Linked DNA regions of Cricetulus griseus. The main gene of each other region encodes a partner of the protein of the gene in region 2 in a complex. Links are inferred from orthologs where the notes say so. Each region holds a gene or a part of one and is shown on either strand. Other genes may lie near its edges.

The links. The genes of interacting proteins can lie anywhere in the genome.
Region 1: the proteins of Lepr (region 2) and Lep are in contact, whole or in part, in a crystal structure (PDB 7Z3R), measured with the Mus musculus proteins. The link is inferred for Cricetulus griseus from reciprocal best matches to the Homo sapiens genes LEPR and LEP. Residues at the interface, in NP_666258.2 of Mus musculus: Tyr439, Leu440, Thr441, Arg466, Ser468, Leu469, Tyr470, Gln499, Pro500, Ile501, Phe502, Leu503, Leu504, Ser505, Val560, Phe561, Glu563, Asn564; in NP_032519.1 of Mus musculus: Lys26, Val27, Asp30, Thr33, Leu34, Lys36, Thr37, Thr40, Arg41, Gln92, Gln96, Asn99, Asp100, Glu102, Asn103, Asp106, Leu107, Leu110.

The regions. Positions count from the first base shown.
Region 1 is NW_023276806.1:198,733,769-198,741,239, forward strand, and holds Lep (leptin), read right to left. Parts: upstream 4,985-7,471; 5' UTR 4,932-4,984; coding exon 4,788-4,931; intron 3,643-4,787; coding exon 3,283-3,642; downstream 1-3,282. UniProt on the Homo sapiens protein: Key player in the regulation of energy balance and body weight control. Once released into the circulation, has central and peripheral effects by binding LEPR, found in many tissues, which results in the activation of several major signaling pathways.
Region 2 is NC_048595.1:47,868,675-47,876,241, reverse strand, and holds part of Lepr (leptin receptor), read left to right. Parts: intron 1-1,776; coding exon 1,777-1,936; intron 1,937-2,051; coding exon 2,052-2,134; intron 2,135-4,998; coding exon 4,999-5,215; intron 5,216-7,567. UniProt on the Homo sapiens protein: Receptor for hormone LEP/leptin. On ligand binding, mediates LEP central and peripheral effects through the activation of different signaling pathways such as JAK2/STAT3 and MAPK cascade/FOS.

The DNA.
Region 1 (7,471 bases), on a different chromosome or scaffold from region 2:
TAACTGATGGCAAGGGAGGAAAGTTTGCTTAACTTTGGGCTTTGTGGGGTCCTTCTTAACATTTCACCTCCAGAGACACCAGTGACCTTTTTGATAGGGAAATGGGCTTTTGGGTTGCCATAGAAATGACAGTCATTGACAACCAGCCCCACAGTCTCTCCTCTGGACAGGAGCTGAGCAGGTCAGGTCCTGAGTGGGCTAAAGGGACTCCTGTTCTGTGGCTGCCAAGAGCTAGGTTCATCTTTTCTATTCCATGGGCTTGGGCTGGTCTGTTGTTTGTTCAGGTGGTTTTCATTTGATTATTTGTTTGGCCTTTTGTGGTGTGATACTTTTGACTCTGATTTTTAAAAATAACCTGGTGCTTCTCAAGGCTGGTTTGCAGGAGTGCACAGCCTCTGGTGTACAATGTGCTCCTTGGCCAGCCCTAGGCTTTAGGGTAATCCTTTCGCCTAATAACTGGCTGCTGGCTGTGGCCAAGCCCGGGTGGAGCTGACCCCGGTGATGGCTGGACGCCAGCCAGGCCTTGCCCTGTCACACACAAACAGCTCCCTTGAAGCCCCTCCACAACAGGAGACAGAAAACAAAGCCTGGAGGCATCGTTAATTTATTTAAGTTTACACAAAATAAAACAGAAGTTTGTTGTTGTCATATAAAAAAAACAAAAAAACAAAAAAACAAAAAAAAACCCAAGCATTTTTGCATATGGGAAGTTTCACAATCTGGGAATAAGCCATAGTGCCAGATTTTCTGAGCAAAAGGCTCAGGACATTTTGGCTTGATAGGGTGACCAAGGTGACATATTATGGACCCCAGAACAGTCTGACACCAGCCACCACAAGCCTCTGTTCTGGACTGTGGCACTTGGGACTCTTTCAGTATCCACTTCAGTGGCCCATAAAGTCCTTCCAGCATTTTCCTTTCCGTCCCGTTCTTCCTTGTCCGTCTTCTCCTTCACCTCCTATTCATACTTTTACCTCTCTACGCCCCAACTTCCAATACAACAACATCCTTCTAGTAGGAAACTCACATTCCTCACCTCCTCCAAAGTCCACTCCAAACGCCTCTCTTCTATCCAGCACCCCAAACCTGATCCAGATCACCTCCTTGAGTGAGTGCATCACCTGGCTGGAGGGACACCCTTCGGGGATGAGAAACCAGTCCCTAGTCTGGCCTTGCCACCTGTTGGCCATTATAGTTTCAAGTGTAGTCTAAATAACTCTTAACAGAAAATCCAAGATCCAAAAATGCTTCAAAACCCGGTGTTTTTTGAGTGATGACATGATGCCATGAGTAGAAAACTCCACACCGTGAAATCTTGTTTCATGCACATAACATTATTTAAAAACACTGTATAAAATTACCTTTAAGCTGTGTGTCTACGGTATTATGAAATACAAATGAATTTCATGTTTATCCTTGGGTCCCACCTCCAAGATATCTCATTATATCTACTCAAAGATACTTAGGCCTGAAAAGACTCAAAAATCCAAGGCTTTCTAGTCCCGGGCATCTTGGAAAAGGGATCCTCAACCTGTATTTTCTTATTTTAACAATCCCAGTTACCCTGTGTCAACAGGATGTGCTCCAATAGCAGTGGATGCTAATGTGCCCTGAAAAGTATGCAAATGCTATAGAGTGCAAGCGAGGTTACCCTGGGCACTGTCACGCTCAGCTCAGGCTGTTTCCCACCTGCTGAAGGCAGCACTGTCCTCTCAGCTGTGTGGCGCTGCCGGGTGAAGTATCCCCCTTGGCACACCAGTGAGTAGGTTCTTACTGCAGGGACATGAGCCCCTGAGTTTTGTGTTTATTTGGTGGGCTTCTCTAGCCCACAGCACCAGTTGGGTCTGAGCACCAAGTGGCGCTCAGTCTTAAAGTGTCTTGCTTTTTCCATCAAGTTTTCTTGCATTGATCTACCACCCACAGTGGGATGGTGACAAAAGGGTGCAGGGTGATGGAAAAACCCAAGCCCCTTCGTTCATCCTCGTGGCCTCCAGCCCGAAGAGCAATTCTGGCAGCCTGGCCTGGGGCCCTGGCACTTCCTCAGCAGTGCTGGCTCAGGGCTCAGGACCATCAGCTGAACAATCTCATTCCCACTGGAACAAAACTCCCCACAGAATGGGTGGTCAACATGGTTTTACTTTGGATGAACCAACCAGATGAGAACCACATGCTGACATGCAAACACCTACCAGGGTTACTGCCAGTTTTAGAAACCCATTGTGGGATCAACCCGGACAACTTGGAGGGCCACACCAGGCACCCTTTTCTTGGGAATCACTATCTCAACTGTGGGACCCTCACTCCCCGAGCTCAGCAATGTACCAATAAAATGGTCTGTGGTTTTAGCCCCCTCCATGGGTGCCTAGTTCACTCCAAACGGTTCTTTTCGTAAAAACCACACTAGGTGGTTTCAGAAGGTGAGGAGACTGCCTCACCCTTTCAGAAAAGCCTACCACAAATATGCTTTTCACACATTCTGAGTCCTTCTCCCTTGCTCAACACATCCCTACCCCCACGTGCCCACAGATACATATTACACTTGACAAAATTCATCTTCTTTCGATAATCTAGCCTATGCTCCAGGCAATGCCACTGCAAAAGTGTTTGCATAAAGTCAGTCACAATAGAAAAGAAACCAGTGACCAGAGGACAGACTCGAGAGCCACCTTGGCTGGCTCTTGCTCAGGCGAGCCCAACCCCAGTCACTCAAAATAGGTTTACCTCAGGCAGACCCATCATTTGGAGTTGAAAACAGCATCCCAGGAGCCTCCCTAACCCTGACTGACCCCAAAGCCTGAAAAAGCCAATGCTTTGCTTCAGATCCATCCAAAGTAAAATGCGGAATAAATAAATAAGTGCTTCCAACATGCGCTGCTTGGGAGTTTCCAGCTGTGTGGATGCAGCCTTCATGGTGCTCCCCGGGAGACACTGAGACCATCCAAAGACTCTGCCCACCCCTTCCTCATATCCCCTGGACCACAGTGAAGCATGTACCAAGAGGCGGGTAGAACAGGGCAGGGACAGGATGCTTCTTATCACTACTTGCTGTAGAACTAGGTGAGAATCACCTCTGCAGACTGGCCTTCCTAGTGCTCATGGAATGGTGCGTCTATCTTTAGTCAAGCGTTGTGGAGTCATGCCTTTGGAAGGGTGGCCTAGAGGAGTGAGAGATGTGGACAGAGTCCTGGATGAGAGATGTATACGCATGGCTCTCCCCTCCTGGAGACACCTGGAAGCTAAGGTTTCTTCCTTCAACATGGTTCTTGGGAGGCCCTTGAAGCCTCAGCATTCAGGGCTAAGGTCCAGCTGTTGGAGAATGTCCTGCAGAGATCCCTGCAGCCTGCTTAGTGCCACCACCTCCGTGGAGTATAGTGAGGCTTCCAGGACACCATCCAGGCTCTCTAGCTGCTGCAGCTCACTGGTCGGAGGCAGGGAGCAGCTCTTGGAGGAGGCCAGCAGATGGAGAAGGTCTCGGAGGTTCTCCAGGTCATTAGATATTTGCACAACGTTTCGGGAAGGCAGACTGGTGAGGATCTGTTGGTAGACTGCCAGAGTCTGGTCCATTTTGGACAAACTCAGGATGGGGTGGAGCCCAGGAATGAAGTCCAAACCAGTGACCCTCTGCTTGGCAGATACCGACTGCTGTACGGGAGGAAGGGGAACAGCAGATACTCAGGAGATGGCAGGGGAATCGACTGGCAAAGCCCTCCATCACATCTGTGAGCCTAGGCTGCCTCCTTCCTTCCTCTCCCTCCGGGTCCAGGCCCTTATCTCCCGTGCTCAGCTGCCTGATGAGCCACTGAGCTTGTCTCCCATATTTCTGCTACTTCTGAGCCACCTCTCCCTTCACTTGTGACTAATCTTCTTGGGTAATTCCTTTCTCCAAATGGCATCCGAGAGGGACTAGCCATGGTTCTCTGTTCCTTACTCTGACTCTAGCCTCTCACCCTTATCAGATCTCTCCCTCCCAGTCATATTCTTATGTAATCCTTCCTCCTTAGGGTCAAAGCTGTGCCCCTCCCCCCACTCTAGGGAATCTGGTTTCCAGGAAGGGCTCTTCCCACCTCAGCAACCTTCTCTCATTGCTACCCACATTTGGGTAGTTGGGTCTCCCATGATGACTGCATTTGAAAGGTGATGAAGACTGCTCTTCTGTGTGACTTTGAAATGAGGGTGTGCAAAGGCAGGAAAAGTTGTGACTAAAACTGTTAGAACCTAATGACCCTCCTGTGTAGAGACTGCCCAGTGGAGATACTGCTGGGAGTCTGGCCACCTGTCAATGGGACACCATGACCTTTAGAGTTTCCTGTGGTCCTGGATACTAGGATTCAAGGAAGTAGTTTTGGGAAGGAAGGAGAATAAGAAACAGAAACAATAGGCTGAGGAGAAGAGATAGTGGTCTGCAGAGCAGGGACGGACCACAGTTCCCCTTAGGTATGCCTCACATGCTCTGCTAAACCGCTGAGGGCAGGGTTTCCTGTGGCAGAGAGAAAATGAACATAGGTGGCCTTCTGATGTCACAGAACCTATGGTTTCTTAAAGGGAGAGTATGACAAAGTCAGATCCCTTCAAGTGGCTTAGAATTAGAACCACAGTTGAGCGGTCTGGGTGCTGGATTTGGAACTGGAACCACTCAGCTCTGGATTCCAGGAGGCAGAGGAGTCAAGAGCCATGACCAGAAAGAATGGACACCCTAGGCTTATAAATAGTCAGCTTCCAGGATGTGCCTGGCATTCAGAAAGTGCTTGATGTGTTTCTCCCTCCTTTGTCCCCTAGAGTCTCCCTACCGTGTGTGAAATGTCATTGATCCTGGTGACAATGGTCTTGATGAGGGTTTTGGTGTCATCCTGGACTTTCTGGATTGGCACAGCTTGAACATAGGACAGATAGGACCAAAGCCACAGGAACCGGCACAGGGGTCTCCAGCACATTTTCCTTCCTGGGATCTTCTTGGGCCTGCAAACAGAAGGAATGACACTTTTCAAGAGCCCAGTATAAATCCACCCTGTCGGCTCTGCTGCCAGCCCACTGTTGGACATGGATGGATAAGATTTGCTTTCTTCCCTAGCTAGCTACCATCGTCTCAAAGTCAAGACAATGCATTATGGAACCTGGATTAATGAAATTCATCCCCCTGGGAACATTATTGACAGGTCAATAAAGCCACAGTGATGTATCCTGTAGATTATAGGGGGCAGTGCTTGTCAGATGGATGTGATGACAATGGGGGGCTTTATTGTATACTTTCAAGGGAAAGAGGACCAACTCTTAAGGTCTGGCTGGAATGTAGTTGTTTCCTCATTGCCTAAATTTAGGTGTCTCACGTAACCATTCAAAACTCCACCTTTCTCCCTATACTCCACCTATATCCAAGCTCGGATGAAGATCAAATTAGCTAATGCACGTGAAAGAGCTGGAGGAGCTGTGAAGTGTTCCTTCCAGTGCTGCCTGGCCCTTCCTGTCACTCTTCCAGGAGCCCCCTGTTGCTGTCTTTTGTGGCCTTCATTACTGACTTATAAGTCCCTTCCTCTCCCAGTGGGGACCTGAGTCCAAGCAGCATTTGTCCACCAGGCACAGTGCCCCAAGGACGGAAGATACTTCCTACCCTCTAGTGCCTCTGTGTAACAGGAGGGACAGACAAGCAAAGTAGGCCGTTTCAATGCAGGAAGATGGAGCTTCACAAGAAGACAAGTGTGAGACATCGCAGGAGCCCAGAGGAGGTTGCCTGGGAAGGGTTCCAGACGGAGAAGGGGCTGAGTAGAACACAGTTGCCCTATGTGGCCAAGAGACCAGAACTGCAAAGGCATGGAAGCAGGAAAGAACGCAGCACATTCACTTAGAATGCTGGAAATTTCAGTCATGGAGCCATGAGTTTTTAAATTAACACTATGCTGATCCTTGATTAAGAAACGCCGGTTTGATGAGATGCATGAGGCAAAAGTAATAAAGTGAAATGTATGCAAGTCTTAGCCAGTGATCCACGCTAAGGACGTGTGTGTGTGAGCTGGAAGAATAAAGATATCCATAAGTATTAGGATGAAGAGTGTGGAGACAGTAGAAAAACTGACTTTTCCTTTTTTGTGTTCTTCCTCTTCTGGGTCTTGGTGGGAACAGGTAATGCTTGGCCATCCATCGGTGGAGATATTAGTATAACTCACCTTCTGGCAGTACAGCAAAAAATGAGCACACTGCTTATATATTATTTATAGTGCTTGCTTAAAGGTATGCTCTTTTTAATCTGAGTTTTACAGAAGAGAAAACAAATGAATCTCAGAAAGATGAGCCGACTTTTCCAAAGTCAAAAAGATGAATGGCAGGCAGGGATGTGCGAAGGACAGATTGAAATATAGCAATCCCCTGCCCCCATCCATAACTCCACTTTCTGAGGTTTTAGTTACCCTTGGTCATCTAAGATCCTAAAATATTAAATAGAAAATTCCAGAAATGAATAATTCATCAGCTCTCAATTGTGCCAGGCTGAGTAGTATTATGAAGTCATATACTGTCTCATCCTGCTCCTACTGGGTGTGAAATCCCTCACCCAGGGTGCCCACACTGTATACATTGCTCCTCTGTGAGCCACTTAGTAGCTTCCTGGTTATCACAACTGTCATGGAATCACAGTGTATCCCTGTTAACCTTTACTTAATTTAATAATGGCCCTACAGCAAGAACTGTGATCAAAGGAGGCAGAAACATTCAAGGAGAGAGGAATTTGAGTTCTAGGGGTCTGTGCTCCAAGGCATATGAAGAATAAATGCATATAAGCGACTTAGTCCTCTCATGAGTTTCAGGTGTCCACTGGAAGTCATGGAACATATTCTCCACAGATCAGCAGGGCTGCTAGCTGATATCCCCCATCTAGTTCCCTGAAACCCCAGTGAAGGAACCAAGTATAACACTCAGACCCCGGGCTTTAACTGTAGGCTGTTTCGTTATTGTTATTGTTATTGTTTGTTGCTGTATGCCCCTAGTAAGCATAGTTAACTTCCCAGAGTATCTGTTCGGACCGGTAAAATGGAGCTAGTGCTAGCACTGGCTCCAAAGAGTAAATGAGATGAATTTTTGATATCCCTGCCTGTCTTGGCTTGTGTCTGTCTCAGGGTTGAGGGAGTAAATGACCACTACTTAAAAAATGATTGTAATTACTGGGCAGAGCTTGCAACGCTCTGGGCAATGGCACCTGCAGCTGACTCTGAGGCACGCACTTGGCCCACTGCCTCCCTTGGGCATCCCAACGGGGTACCCTGGTGCTTGTGGGTTTTCCCCTTAGCACAAGCATGTGTGTCATTCATTTCTAAGATGTATGTGTTGATGATACCCCCCTTCCTTACAAAATTTACTGCCAGAATACCTATGGTCATAACATAGCTATTTTCACATAACGGCCACCTGAACTATTGAAATGGACAAAAAGCTTTACAAGCCCTCTCTCAGCATGGGTAATATGCCCCAGTGGATTCTGGCAATA
Region 2 (7,567 bases):
ATGTTTTATGAACACATATTAGTTATACTTTATAATGGGTTTCACTATGATATTTTCATATATATAATGTATTCTGATCATATTCACCTCCTCTTACCACCTCTTATCCCCCCACCACTGTTCCCTTCCTGTTCCTAGCCAGTCACCTTTCTCCATGTTTGGTAAGGATTTTTTCCACAGGAACATGGGCAGCTTATCAGTGGTTCTACCACTAAAGAAACTATCTCATCTTCCCCCAGCAACAGGGAAATCCTCAGGGAGAAGTGGGGGCCCTGTGAGCCCTTCTCCCTTCCATGACCAACTGTACACAGAGGTTTCTTTCCCACCCGCCAGTTCCTGAATAAATACTCAGAGACTTAATAGTAACTATAATTGTTTGGCTAATGGCTCAAGCATATTATTAACTAGCTCTTCCAACTTAAATTAACCCATTTCTATTAATTTATTTATTGCCATTAATTTATTTATTATGGCATTACCTCACATCTGCTTCTCTGGCAGCTGTATAGCATCTACCGGACTCCGCCTTCTTTCTCTCTGTATTTCTCTTTGGATTTCCCAACTGATTTTCTGCCTGGCCATTGGCCAAAACAGCTTTATTCATCATCCATTAAATATTAAAACACGTATTTGTAGCATATAGAAGGACATCCCGCAGCAACCAACCTCATACATGTCTTGTGTAGGTAATCACAACTGCTGAGAGTTAAACATGCAGCAGCATCTTATAATGTTTCAGAGTTTTGTTGTATCACATTGTCACTGGCATACAAATAGTACTCTCCTGTATCGTGTAATTGCTTTCATTACTTAGATCAATGGTTCTCAACCTATGGGTTGCAAACCTTTTCACAGGAGTCACATATCCTATAGTTACATTATGATTAATAACAGTAGCAAAATTACAGTTATAAAGTAGCAATAAAATAATTTTATGGTGGGGGGGTCACCACAACATGAGGGACTGTATTAAAGGGGTTACAATATTAGGAAGATTGAGAAGCACTGACTTAAATTGTAAAAGTTTAATCCTTGCAAGGAACAAAAATAGCATACTTGACAGGACATTTTCCCAATGAGCTGTTCATGAAACAGTGATTGCCTGGCTAAATAGGCTCAGGAAACTCTACCTCATTGTACCTTCCTGGTGTAGAGATGCAGTTTATGATATTTAAGATTTGGAGAAGGCCTTCACTGAAGAAACATATTGCATCCTTTGTTTCCACACTCACTTTTCAGGGACCCACATTTCATCTAAGCTTCTGATATCTTTCAGTATGTTCATCAATAGTACATTTTGAAAAAGACTACTTTTATTAAACAATCATAGAGTTGAGTGTGCATATGGGAAATTTTGTGTCAGTTTTTCAAGGCAGCTTGCTAAGATCGGAAATACAAGAAACCCTAATTCCATTGTTAGCACAATGACATCAGTTGTGGCGAATGTGAGTCTTATCCACTTGATTCTCTAGAAGGGACCCTGTCTGACTGCCATTTTTGAATTCTTGTCTTTGTGGTGGAGAGGATCAGATGGTAAGGATTAGCAGTAGGGCAAGAGTGTGTTTGGAATTGACCTTGCAAGTGCAATGAGTCAAAAATGGAAAGACCAGGTGTGGGAGGCAGCACTCCTCTGGCTGGCCTAACATCATGAGTTTCTGAAGTGAGAAAATACAGCATCACTCTATCTTAAGTTTGGAATAGTGTTAAGGTTTAAAATACAAGCACACTTCAGGACCCAAGGAGGCATACATATTGACAGTATGACTTCTGTTCCAGATGCATGAGGTATTTGATGCAAAATCAAAGTCTGTCAGCCTGCCGGTGCTGGACCTCTGTGCAGTCTATGTGGCACAGGTGCGCTGCAGGCGGTTGGATGGACTTGGGTACTGGAGTAACTGGAGCAGACCAGCCTACACACTTGTCATGGATGTAAAAGGTCTGTGAACACTTGTTACTGTTTCTTGAAAGTACAGAAGCATGTGCTTCAGATGTGACTGAAAACATTCCTTCCAAGAACATGTGTCCAACTTGGGCTCCCTGTCATTTTGCAGTTCCTATGAGAGGACCTGAATTTTGGAGAATAATGAATGGTGATATTACTAAAAAAGAGAAAAATGTCACCTTGCTTTGGAAGGTATTTCTAATTTCTATCTTTTATTTTATTCTGACGTTATGTTGTTCTATTCTTTGTTTATAACCCTGTCACTATTAATCTCACAAATGACCCCAAACCTTATGTTTTAATGCATTTTGGAGATGTGGTTGCTCAGAGCTAAGAATCTGGGGTTTTGACATAGTCAGGAGCCTTTATTATTGTCTTAGGTCAATTACAATTGTGCCATTGCTATTTTGGCAAGTCTTGGATTCTTTGGACTTCACATTTGGCATCTGTATCAGGGTAAGATTCCCAAATGATAATTAATGTTGCTTCAAGTCCACGATTTGATTGTGATTGAATCCTGAACAATGTAAACATGGCTTTGCCCTCACACTGTAAGCACGTAAGAAGTAAGAGAGGATTTGAGCTATGTGATGGCATAGGATAAGTGTTTTCTACAATGATGGATAATCAACTTGGAAATGCCAAAGCATCCATTCTTCTAAAGAGTGACTTCTTTCCCAAATAAATAATTTCAGGAGTAGGTATAAAGCTTATGACTTACTTAGGAATAAAATATACTAGGTAGGCCATGTTATGTTTATTATGTAAATGGGAAAGACTGTCAGGAGAATGAAGACATCATTGCAGTAAGGACTCTTCAGCTTCAACAGTAAGAAAGCAAATAGCCCAACGAAAATATAGACCAAATATCTGGTCTACATATCTAACCAAAGGTGACAGACCCACAGGAGACAAATAAAAACATGATAGGAGTCTTAGCATTGTTGGTCATTGTTGTGGATTTACAAAGTAAAACAACAGTGAGGTATAAGTCCATGTCTATTAGAATAGTTATTACTTTTCAAATTGCTGGTTGAGAATACAGAGCATCAAGAAACTTGGTTTGCTGCTCATGGAAATGCAAACTTGTGTAGCCTTGATGGACCATCGTGCTCATAGATGATTATCTGGGTGACTTGAAAACTTTCTCTACATGAAAACTTGCACATGAGTTATTCAGACCACTGTATTCATAATCGTTATTCCAAAGTGAGACTCTTCAGTTGACAGTGAAATGGTAGGCACACAACACTGCACATTTGCACATTAGGACAACAGATAAAAGTATCCAGATTTAAAAAAATCATAGACTGGAGGATTCGAGGATGAAAAACAGATTAGATTATGACCATCACAAGTGTATGAAATTACCTCACTGTGTAGGGCAAGGGAAAAGGCTTTAATTAACTTTGGAAATGAGTCTGATGTGTGGAAGATGTGAGACACTACATGAACACTTTGGAGTTGTGCATTTTTGCAGGGATGTAGGCTAGTAGTTATTACATCAGTGTATGTCTGTCTTGATGGAAAAATTGAGATGAGTGGGCCAGAGTACAGGTTTTTCACTGCTCTCTCAGGAGGCTCCAGACTAGCAAGAAAGTCAGCCATAATGGTTCTTGTAGTCATAGATTGGAGTTAGAGGTCAACATAAGCTCATTAAGGCATAGGTGGGCTCTTTCAGACATATTTAGATATGTATATTTACAGAGGCCAGTATACATGCATATATCCTTGATTTTGTAAGCTAAGAGGGCCTAAAAGTTAAGACTATTCAAGAGGAAAGAGTGTCTCAGTCAAAGAAATCAGGACCTGAGAGAAATGCTTACTTTGGGGCTGGGGCAGTAAATGTACAGGTGAGCCATGAGTATCTTTTAATATTCTTGATTCTTTGCTTATGATTAAAGAATAAATACTAACATATCAAAATGACATAGATTTTCAGATGAAATAAAACTTGTATTTCCTCATAGAAGTTTTGCTTACATCTTACTTCCACCCTACTACCCACAAGCTTGCACCCTCTGCAGAATACCTGCATCTGTGTGAATGTGTCTCTGCCATTTTTCAACTGGAGACACTTGTTCTGTCTGTGTTATAAAATTCAGCTCTTCATAGCTTTCTAAGGGATTGGCAGCATTTAATTTTCCCTGCAATAGGTAAAGGTGATTGCTTGGGAAGTGAAGGGGATCATTGGACTCTCTTTTTTTTGGCGGGGGTGAGACAGGGTTTCTCTGTGAAGCTTTGGAGCCTATCCTGGCACTCATTCTGTAGACCAGGCTGGCCTCGAACTCACAGAGATCTGCCTGCTTCTGCTTCCCGAGTGCTGGGATTAAAGGCGTGTGCCACAGATGCCCAGTGATTGTTGGACTCTTAAGAACAGAAGAACATGGAGCTGGATGGAATGGAATGTGTTGTACACAGGAATCTTTCATAACACAGTATAATATTTTATAGAAAGCCTTACGGCAGAAATGTCCAGGGCCACAAAGACTGCTCAGAGAGCCTCTGTTATTTGTTAACCTTCAAGGTTTCTGTTTTGTTTGCAAAAACTCTTCTTGCGGTAGCTAATCTTCCAAGCATATCCGGGGGAGAACAGTGGTAGATTTACTTGGGTTTACAAAGTGATGATGACTATCTGAGCCTTCTTGTTCCTTCCTAGAACCTGAGTAGTACCTTTGCTTGCTTGTTAGATGAGGAAACTTCTTACCAGTCTTTTTCTACATTTAGAGTAGAGATTCTTAGCATTTTCTATGTGTTCTTCATATTTTGAGTGTCCTGTGTTCTTACTTTATTGTCTTTAGTCTCTGGGTCTAAAGAAAAATGTAAAGAGGGGAAAATAATTTCCCTGTGCTGCACGACTCCTAGATATGTCCATGCCTACTGCATTGCTCAGTTTCAACTCCTGTTCCCACCCCAATGCCTTAACACTAGGTTGGGCAGTGCCTGCCTTTGTCTAACTCCGACTTCCTGGTGGGAATGTATAATCAGAATTCTATGAGCTCAGTTGTTATAAATGCTGTGGTCCATGTGCTAATTCATTTTTGTGTTTACTCCAGCCCCTGATGAAAAATGACTCCCTGTGCAGCGTGAGGAGGTATGTGGTGCAGCATAGTACTGCCCACAATGGGACGTGGTCAGAAGACGCGGGAGATCAGACCAATCTCACTTTCCTGTGGGCAGAACAAGCACATACCGTTACGGTTCTGGCCATCAATTCCATTGGTGCTTCCCTTGCAAATTTTAATCTAACATTTTCATGGCCAATGAGTAAAGGTAAAGATGCTGAGAAATGAAATAGTTTATTGCCCTATTTATTTATTTATTTTGAGTTTTCAAAGCAGGGTTTCTCTGTGTAGCTCTGGCTGTCTTGGAACTTACTCTGTAGACCAGACTGGCCTCGAACTCACAGAGAACTCCCTGAGTGCTGGAATTACAGGCATGTGCCACCACCACCTGGCTTATTTTATTTATTTCTATGGTGGGTCATACAGAATCCTACTATTATTATTATCATTATTATTTTAGCCTGACTGTTAAATTATGATGTAGCTTGATTGCATGACTTTTTGTGTAGCACTGCAGCTATATCATTCTTGCTCCTTCCCCTTCAATGCCTCCCATGTATCGCCTCTAAAATTCATTATCTAGTCTTTATATATATATATATATATATATATATATATATATGAGTCTATTATATTTATAGTCTATATATATAATATATATATATATATATATATATAAATGAGTCTAAATAGACTCATATATATATGAGTCTATTTAGCTTTGCTCATACGTACATGTGTTCAGGGATGACCACTTGGGATTGGGATTAGTTAACCTGTGCAGGAGCTCATTCATGGAGGAGACTGATTCTTCTTCTCTGAGTATCCACTGATTTTCTGCAGCTCTTCCTCTAGGGGTGGGTGTGAGGGCCTCAGAACTGGCACAGAACACAGCCAGATACCAAGTTCTCAGCACAAAGGAGATTCAGTACCCCAGAAGGATAAGTGGGGACCAGAAGGCTGCCTCTGGATGGACAAAGATATTAACAGGTGACTCTGCAGGAGTGGTTTTTAAGGAGAAAAGGGGGAAGTCTGGTAGGATGAGTTGGTAAGCTCTGGTTGGACATGTTAGTCAGTGTAGCCAAATAATAAATCTTGTTTTGCTGGATCTTGGTGTTTGGATAGCTGGACCTTGGAGTTTTAGTCAGGCATAAGGAAGTGGCCAAATAGAGGAATTTAGAAAGTGCTGTGAACTTTAAAGAAGGGATAGGACATATTCAAACCATAATCAAAGACTTCATGAAATAAGTGACGCTTGGATAGGTTAGTAGGTGGGTAGAGACACCAGAAATGAGTATTTTTTCCATTTAAAATGAAATGGTATCTTTTATACAAAACACAGATTTTATGCTCCTATTGAGGGTGGCTCTTGGGACAGCAAGGTGGCCCTGTAGATAAAGGCACCAGCCACCAAGCCTGATAACTGAGTTAGATCCCTGAGAGCCTACAAGGTGGAAGGGGAGAACCAATTTCCACAAGTTGCCCGACATCCATACATACTCTGGCATGTTGCATCCTCCCAATTAATTAACTTTAAAATATATTTTATAGGGCTGGAGAGATGGCTCAGTGGTTAAGAATACTAGCTGGTCTTCCAGAGGTCCTGAGTTCAATTCCCAGCAAACACATGATGGCTCACAGCTATCAGTAATGAGACCTGATGCCCTCTTCTGGCCTGCAGGCAGACATGCAGATAGCCCACTCTATACATAATAAATAAATAAATCTTTAAAAAATAGTGTTGTGTTCTAAGGAAAAATATATTAGTATGTGTGTATCTTTGTGAGTGTATGCATTTGTGATGTATATTTATGGGCACACATATTATAGCATGTGTATGGAGATTGGAGCACAACGTAGTGCAGGTGATTTCACCCTTCACCTTTACGTGGGACCTGGAGATTGACATAGGGTCTCATTATGTGGCTCTGGCTGGCCTGGAACTCACTATATAGATCAGTCTAGTCTTGAACACATAGAGATCTGATTTTCTTTCTACCCCTCAATGCTAGGATTGAAGGCATATGCCTCCATGCCTGGCCAGGAATATGATTTTTTTTTTTCTGAAAGAAAGTAAACAGGAACTTGATTTTGGGTTGAGGGTAGAGAAACCATCCTGAGGCAATGGCATTGATTAGGAATCAAATTTCTTCTCCCAGCTTTAGGGTGGGGAAGTTTTAGCTTCCAACAGATGCACACCTGATCAAGTTTTCATGGCTCAGGGGAAGAGATGAATGAAGACCAGGGTGGCTTCTGCATGGAGAAACAGACACAGCAGAAAGTGGGTTGAGACATGGCTTGTGGGGCCATGTAGGCAGATAGGAATGGCCTCCTCAGATGTGCAAGTCTACCAAGGCTTCTGGAAGGGACTCTGCTGAGGGCAGTTTCTGAAAGTGTCACTCACCAGTGGGAGAGAAGTGTGTGGGAATCAGAGACTATGGTCAATAGGCTTGTGTGTGATTCCAGCAGAGAACAGTTTTGACCCTGCCAAAATTCCATTTTTAGGTCTGAGGTAGAATCGCTTTTCTTCTCCACATCATAAGCTCCTGAACTCTGCTTG